Nothobranchius furzeri: one gene and its partner. The protein of the gene in region 1 interacts with the protein of each later gene in a biochemical or structural test. Links are inferred from orthologs where the notes say so. Each region holds a gene or a part of one and is shown on either strand. Other genes may lie near its edges.

Region 1 (3,968 bases):
AAGTTCAAATGGTGTTTAAAAGCCTTTAGATGAACTGCTAGAACAATGATGAGATCTGAGTTGTTTTAATACAATAGAAACCCACTTTTAATTTACCCTCCTGGAACTAATCAGTAACTTATTTGCCTAGACACAATCAAATTTTACTATTCTCTGTTTACCTGCCTGCCATTCTAACCAAACTACAACCTTCACCAGAGCTGGGGAGTAAGCAGCTCCAGTCAAAAGATCTCTGCCAGATACTGGGAGATCTTGATGGATCAGCCGAAGTTCCCCAGTCATACTGCTGTCACCTCCCTCAGACCAGACGCTGTTCTTGTGTCTGAGGCCAGTAAGCAAGTTTTGCTGTTGGACTTAACAATTCCCCGGGAAGAGCCCTGGAGAAAGCTCTCCAAGTATGGAGTGGACTGGTTGGAGAGTGAGAGTGAGGTGCTTCCCAGTGGAAGCTGGATGCAGGGGTTAGATCCCTGCTTGATCACTGAGTTGCCTTGGCGTAGAGGATAAGCATGAGACACGAGCCATCAGCAGCACCACCACTGAAGCAGTCGAGTCGAGGCAGTGGAGGACGAACCACTGATGTAGATTGTTCTTAATATTTTTCAGAGTTCCAATTTAAAAGATCTGAAGGATCATTTTGGTGATTTCAAAATCATCTTTCCTGCTTTCAAACTTGTAAATATGAAGTTTAGTAATTATTGTAACTTTGGAAATCATAATTACAAGATCAAAGTCATAACTATGACTAAAAATAACACCATAATTACAACCTTGACAGTTATTAAAAATTATATTTATGACTTTAAAAGTCAGATTTCTAAGACAAAAGGTTGCAAATGTGATTAAAAGTTATAAATCTGAGATGTTACCATAACTGTACCCTAATCGAGCCAATATACGTTTCCCGTTATTGTGAGATGTATCATTTTGAAGTTAAAAGTCACCACATTGCCTGATATTAGGCACCAACAATGAAATAGACAGGAAATATTTTAAAGAACTTTTTTTTTAAATTTATTTAAAAGTTGATCATTTATCATAACTAACCCTGATCACTGACTGTTTCCTGCCGCCGGGGGGCATCAGTGCATCACTTACACTTTCTATTTGTTTCTCTTCCAGAGGAAGGTGGTGCTGTTGCTCACCAGCCGCTCATCGTGCGCAAAGATCGGCGCTGAAGCTGCAGAAGGATGTGCTCTCCGGACGAATGTTTTGGATAAACGCAGGGAGTTTGACCAGTAACCATTTTCACTTTTACAGTCTGCAGAGCGCACCGGTCCGAAGGTTCTGGAGCCCCCGGTGGTTTGGGTCCGTTTTGGAGCAGCGTGCCTCAGAGCCGGACACACGGTCCAGTTGACTGGAGTTCGTAGCTTTTAGGGAATTTAAACTTTTCCGTTGTTGGATCTGGAGTTGTGTTTGTGATGTGAGGGCGCGCACGAGGCCAGTCGGGATGCACGCTGGAAGTTTAGCCCCGCACCCGTTGTCCTGAACTCCCACCTCTTCTTTTCGCGCATTTTCACCGCATTTTTACTCTACTCGGGTCTGCAGGAAGGTTCGATGCGAGAAGAAGAGCAAATGGCCAACGAGCGGAAACCGCGGCTGTGTGTGATGAATAAAGGGGAGAACGGGTATGGCTTTCACCTGCACGGAGAGAAGGGGAAGAGCGGACAGTTCATCCGCCAAGTGGAGCCCAACTCCCCCGCAGAGGCGTCGGGGCTGCGCGCCGGGGACCGGGTGGTCGCCGTGAACGGCGTCAACGTGGAGAAGGAGACACACCACCAGGCGAGTGGATGTGTGCTTTCATATTTATGATTAGAGTCGAGTTACATGTCTGCCTGCGAGGGTGCATCAACAGGTCACACACACACACACACACACACACACACACACACACACACACACACACACACACACACACACACACACACACACACACACACACACACAAAGTGCGCAAAACCCGCCCCCGCCACACTAATCTAATCTGTCGCATTGAATTTACAGACTTTCAGCATATTGGCATATTGTTGAGGCTGATAAACACTCAGACGCTTCAGCTGCAGACTTTGTTCTGTCTGAGCCCAAAATGATCTGCAACTATCAAATATCTCTGCCCCAAACCAAGTTAAACTGTCTTATCTGTCAGGTCACAGAGCAGCAGGAGGTTTTTACTTTTGTTTCATCACTCTTCTGATGGGTAATGGTTCTTATAGATTTGCATTTATCTGTGTAATTCATTTTAAATTCAGTTGAGTTAAAAATCTGATTCAGTTTTCGACTTCATTCCTCTCATCCACTAACTGTCATTGAGGCCTGACCTCAAATGTTGTGTTTTCTCACAACTATGGTGGTCTGATGGTGGGAAACAGTAACAGATGAGAGAGAGAGGGGGGTGGGGCGTGGGGGTCAACTATTTAATCCACTAAATTTTGGCATATGATTGGACAAACCTTTGATTGGTTTGATATAATTTTTCTCCACAAGCATATACTCAACATGAGTTTATGCACGTTTGTTTTTTGTTGGAATTTGGGACACTGATTTTGTTTTAGAGTGCCGAAACCGATTTCTGACTCTTGTAACAGCTCAGACTTGCTGATGCTGGTTTGGCCCATTCAGATTCATCTAACTAACATTAAAGAGACAATGTGTAGTTTTACCATTAATTTCTGGAAACATCCATCAAAATGTAGTTGAAAATGAATGAAATGAAGCCCAGTTGTTGAACAATATTGGCAGCGTCGTAACATCTAACCATAAAAATCTGGTCTAAAATAAATGGGAGCGGGTCTAAGTCTCTGGGCGACGCCATATTAGATGCTATGTTTCCTTCTACGGGTGCCCATGAGGACAAAATGCATCTACTGATTTGTAACAAACCGTTACAAAACTTTTGTCATTGTTAAATATGTTGTTTTACACGTTTACCTCTTCAATTGTTGCCAGTGATGAAAGAGAGTCTGATGTGCTTATTTTGCTAAAGTTTGCACTCCCCAGGGCTTTTAGACCCTAATGGGCTTCCGTTGGTAAGGTCTTATTCCAACACAAAAATACAGCTTTCTTACAACGATTTAGGTATCTACTGCCCCCTATGGCCAGAAAAAATACACACTGTCACTTTAAAGCGTTCATTCCGGAGCTAAAACCTTGCACATGTAACATCAGTTACTAACATCGATGAGCAGTTGTCTGGTGAGTTCACAGACCAGGAAAAATGTCAGATGTTTTATTGTTGACGCCGCTTACAGATCAATATAAAAAAATCAGAATTCCGAGTTTCTGATCACCAGACAATCTAGCTCCTCTCTTAATTATTTTTTCGTCTAAACTGTTGTGTTTTAGCCTGTTGTTGCTATACCCATGAACATCTTTAGTCTATTATTTTAAATCCTCCCAGATTCATGAGCTAATGGCTGGGACTATTTAAACCAAAACGTTTCACTGCCAACTTAAAACACCTTTAATCTCCCAAATCTCACAACAACAGCTAATGTGAACGTTTATTTAGAAACCTTTACATCACTGTTAGTGGTTACGTCAGCTGGAACTGTCTGACTCCTGCTGGATTTGAGCCCTAAAAGCACCATAAAGAGCTGAAGTTTGATCATGTTGCAGGTTTGTTTTGTCACCTCATACTTAAACAAGGGCCTGACAGCTGGGACATTTAAAACAACAACCATAATCTAGTTCTTACATTGTTAAAGGTGCAGCATGTAAGAATATAGTGAGAATTTTACAGTGAGAAAATCCCAAAAGAGTTTAATGTTTCTGTCATTTTAGAAGGAAGGTTATAGTGAAATATATTAGCTGGATGCTGGGATTGTCAGTTTTTCTCCTCTCAAAACAAAGGAAGGAGGGACTACTGTTTACCATCAGTGAGTGTGGGGTTGCCGTGTCTCCTGCGAGTAATACTGCAGCGCTACAATTGTAATGTGGCAATGGCTAGCAAAACGCTCCAGAGTTGTTGAAAA
Region 2 (4,313 bases), on another chromosome or scaffold:
GGGTTTTCACGTTTTTACATAGATAGCTTCTTTTACTCCTCTCTCAAATCATCTATCTTCTCTGTCCAGAATGTGGACTTTGTCATCTTCAAAGGTGTGTCCCTTGTCCTTTAGGTGAAGGTGGACTGCAGAGTTTTGACCTGAAGAGGTGGCTCTCCTGTGTTGTGTTATGTTCTTGTGTAATAGTTGTTTAGTTTCTCTAATGTAAACATCTGGACAGTCCTCACTACACTGGACTGCATAAACAACGCCACTGAGCTTCTGTTTGGGTGTTTTGTCTTCTGGACGGACCAGGTTCTGTCTGAGGGTGTTGTTGGGTTTAAAGTTTACCGGGATGTTGTGTTTGGAGAAGATTCTTCTAAGTTTCACTGAGAATCCTGCCACGTATGTGATGATGGTGCCTTTGCCCAAAGGAAGTTGTTGTTAGGTTGGTAGCAGAGCTTTCATGTTTAGTGTTAAGTTCAGTGAGATCATGGAATGGGATCAAGAATTTTCTACTGACAGGAAAAAGATCTCAGCTAACATAGCTGTAGATCACACTGGATAACTCTCTGTGGTGCATTTATTTTACATTTATTTTACTACCTCTTACTAGAGCTGTCTTTAGTAGACGCAAAATATACTTGGATGTACACCTGTGCAATAGCAATAAAGTATCTTGAATCTTGATTTCTGTTAAATGTACTTCCTGAATGAGTGACCTTTTCAGGCTAAAATAACAAATTGACAAATACAGACAGAAGGATGAATTCTTTCTTCTTTTGTAATGCATTGCATCACCATCTGGTATCAGAACAGGTATTGGAAGATAATCAAAAATCAAACAACTTGGACTCGGATCAGGGGCAAAAATGTGGTTGTAACATCTCTAGATATGTCAGCTTTAAAAACTAAAACTATTATTTATGAACTAACATTAACACTAATGATACTAATTGGTATATTTTTATTATGTTGTTTGAACCCAAGGGTCTCATTATCTGAATTTTCTAACTTGTTGGATTGCTCTATAAGGGCCCCTTTTTTTTTTACTTTGAGCACCCGCCCCGTCAAAGGTCTCTGCACGGCCCTGGTTTCCAGTATTTGTGTATTTTTTACCTTTACACGTGTGTTAATTTCGTTTTTTTTCTTTTTCTTTTTTTTCTGCTTTGCTTTGTTAGTTTTATCAATAAAGTTAATTGAGAAGAAATTTCTTTTGATTTTTTTTTACACGTAAAGCAGATGACTTCCGGTAGGTGGCAGAAGAGGGTTGGGTTAAATGAGATTCCAAGGATGTTTTGTTTATTAACCAGTCAGGCAGATTCTCTTCCTTAGCCTGCAGCTAATCTGCATTCCTGCTGACAGAAGAGATTCTCGGTAGAAAGTGTTTGTCGGTCAGCTGACAGCTGTGAGATAGTAGCATGTTACCGTCGGAGTTAGCGTGCAGACACCGAGCTAATTCAACGGTAAAACCAATCGCTCTATTTGAATCTAGCGGGCTAGTCTTTTTGCGTAAGCGAAACATTTATTTCTATAGCGAAGCAAGGACATTTTACCAAAACGTGCCCCCAAGGTGGCTGTTTTAGCATCAATGTGCGAGTAGCTAAGTAATTGTTTCTCATAGCAACTAGCTAGCTGTCACCAGCGGGAGTCTGATGGAGAACTCGTTCTAAAGTTTGAAGACATCTTCTGCTGCTGCCGATGTCGATTAAATGGCAGAAGCCGAGCAGGACGATGGGCTCGAAATCGGTGGCAGCACGGAGAAGTTGACGGATGGAGAGAAAGGAACTTCTCGTGGATCAAACAACTCCTTTACCGGGGACACACAGGTGGACAAGTATGGGTTCTTAGGAGGAGCTCAGCAGAGCGCCACAGAAGAGTAAGGGTGATGTTTCAAATGCAGCTTCTGATTTCTGGTAGATATGGGAAAATGTGAAAAAAATTTCTTAATGGTCATTGTGTGTTGTCAAAGATAATCAGATTTATGTGGTAAATAAAAAAAAACATATGGGAGGATTTCCTGAAGTTACGTGTAAGTGTTGGTTACGGCCGAAAGCAAGTACACTCACCCCTCCCTCACCGGTTTTCCTTTATTCTAGCAGCTAAACTAACACGAAAACTGTCCTCATTTAGTCAAAAGTGTGCTCTTGTTTCAGTTATTCAAAAATTTTATCCTAGTCATGTCCCAATCCTGCCAGGGCCATCTGTCTCCACTAGTGATTTGTTTGAGTTTTATCCTTTTCAAATGGGACAGAGCCCGTTTCCACCCGAACTCGGATAAACCCCAGATTAAACTAGCCTGTGTTTCAAACATCACCAACCCAACAGTAAAACAACTTCCTGTTTACTTTCACTCCAAGAGTTTCCTTATACCTTGGTTAATGTAGATCTATGGTTGCTCCGCATCAGAGTAACTAGCGTGAGATAATCACATGATCCACCAGCATTTGCCTCACCTTAACCACTATATGTTATTGTGGACAGGTTTCAGCTCCAGACTGTCATCGGTGTAAACTGGAACAACACGAGTCCAGGAGTTACACTCACTGATAACACTCCCACCAAGTCTTCCTCATAGTCCGATGTTGAGAATTGGAAGAATGTGTGACTGTTGAGAATGATGTCAAAGATTTAGGGTTTGGTGACTAACCAGTGTTTGATCTAAATGGATCAAAATAATTTCTGTTCAACTTGAGTATGATGGATCAAACTCAGTTTGTGAATTTGACCGTTTATAAAATCAGTGAGACCCCCCACCCCCCCATTGTGGTTCTTCATGAAACATCATGGAGATGATCTTCAGGAATCAAAACTTTTTTTATGCTTTCAATGGAAGAGATCAAACCAGTAGCTGTGTTTTCATTATGATTTAGTTATTCACTTTTTCATGGGTTATAATCTGGAATGTTTGCAGCCCCTGTGCTAAAAGATCAAGGATATCCATTCTTGTAGAGCCTGAAAGGTGGCATTTATGGGATGTTCAGCTGTTTGAAACGAAACCGCAAATCCTCCCGTCAAACCAGCGATCTATATGTAGCGTCTCTGTTCTGCGTTGTTCTTCTGACTTTATTGGCTTTCACCTGTTAAATGTGCTTGTGGTTTAGAGACACCGATGTTGTCCGGAACTATTCTGGTGATCCGATTAGAGCATACTGCTCAGCAGGTTTGTGTTTTGTTCATGTTCGGAAGACATCTCGTATTCTCCTCAGCGCCGTTGGGCGGTGAGGTGTCTTTATAAAGGCTACAGTGAATTAGACTGGGGTAAACGTCCCCCACAGCTTCCTGTTTCCCTTCCGATGGCGAATGTTCAGCTGCTTCGCTTGAGGAAAGTTTCCTGAACGTACAAAGAAGAGACGAGCTGCTTCTCCGCTCCCTCTGAGCAAAAGTGTCTCCTGTCGAACTTTTTAGGAGAGGACGGCGGGACTCTGTTTGACTACTCATACCAGCTTTGTTGTGTTTTCCCTCTCAGGGCGGAGGAGATCCCCTCTGATGTGCTGAGGCAGCGGGAGTTGAAATGGCTGGAGATGTTAAAAAGCTGGGACAAGTGGATGGCCAAAAAACACAAGAAGGTCTGATTTATGTGATGCTTTTACTGATTTGTAATTCCTCCTTAAAGAGGTTCAAGCTGTGGTTTAAAAAGCATGAATTCACACAATCATATCAGATTTGAAGCTCATTTTATTCAGGATTTTATTAAATCCTGCAGTAACTGTGTGTTTGTTGAATAAAAGGTGAAAGAGCGTTGCCAGAAAGGAATTCCTCCATCCCTGCGGGGTCGGGCCTGGCTCTACCTCACTGGAGGGAAAGCAAAAAAGGAGCAAAACAGGAGCAAGTTTGAGGTCAGTTTGAGAATCCTGGTTCCTCTTGAGTCCCAATCATGATGGGTTTACTGTAGTAAATGTTTGTGATGGGACAGCTGTTGCTTTTTCTATCGATATCTGGGAGAACTTAGGTATTCACAACGTACTTCTACACAATAGACGGCTATAGATTAGAAGTTTGACCCTCCCATAACCCAGTCAGATTTGACAAAACTCCTCAGATTAGAAGCGAAGCATCTTCAAGAAACCAAAGACGTCCAGTTGCCTTCATTTGAATCCTTTTGGATCACTTATATAAACTTTTTGCATGTTCAAATATCAAAATAAAAGCTTTAACATTTTGTATTTAAATTACAAACTCAGAGTGACCGATTATAATCAGAAATAATCATTAAAACTGTTTTTTTTTTCAGTCTTCATCACCTTTAAGTTCTAGATCCCAGTTTAATAGATAGAAAATGTGAAAAATTGGTTAAAAAAAAACTAAAATAGTGTCTTATAGGAACTGAAGAA

The links.
Region 2: the proteins of Na(+)/H(+) exchange regulatory cofactor NHE-RF2 (region 1) and TBC1 domain family member 10A form a complex in vitro, tested with the Homo sapiens proteins (2 studies listed by IntAct, with this or other methods). The link is inferred for Nothobranchius furzeri from reciprocal best matches to the Homo sapiens genes NHERF2 and TBC1D10A.

The regions. Positions count from the first base shown.
Region 1 is NC_091752.1:53,773,802-53,777,769, reverse strand, and holds the start of Na(+)/H(+) exchange regulatory cofactor NHE-RF2, read left to right. Parts: upstream 1-1,131; 5' UTR 1,132-1,554; coding exon 1,555-1,779; intron 1,780-3,968.
Region 2 is NC_091746.1:51,452,358-51,456,670, reverse strand, and holds the start of TBC1 domain family member 10A, read left to right. Parts: upstream 1-1,499; 5' UTR 1,500-1,691; coding exon 1,692-1,858; intron 1,859-3,448; coding exon 3,449-3,548; intron 3,549-3,710; coding exon 3,711-3,818; intron 3,819-4,302; coding exon 4,303-4,313.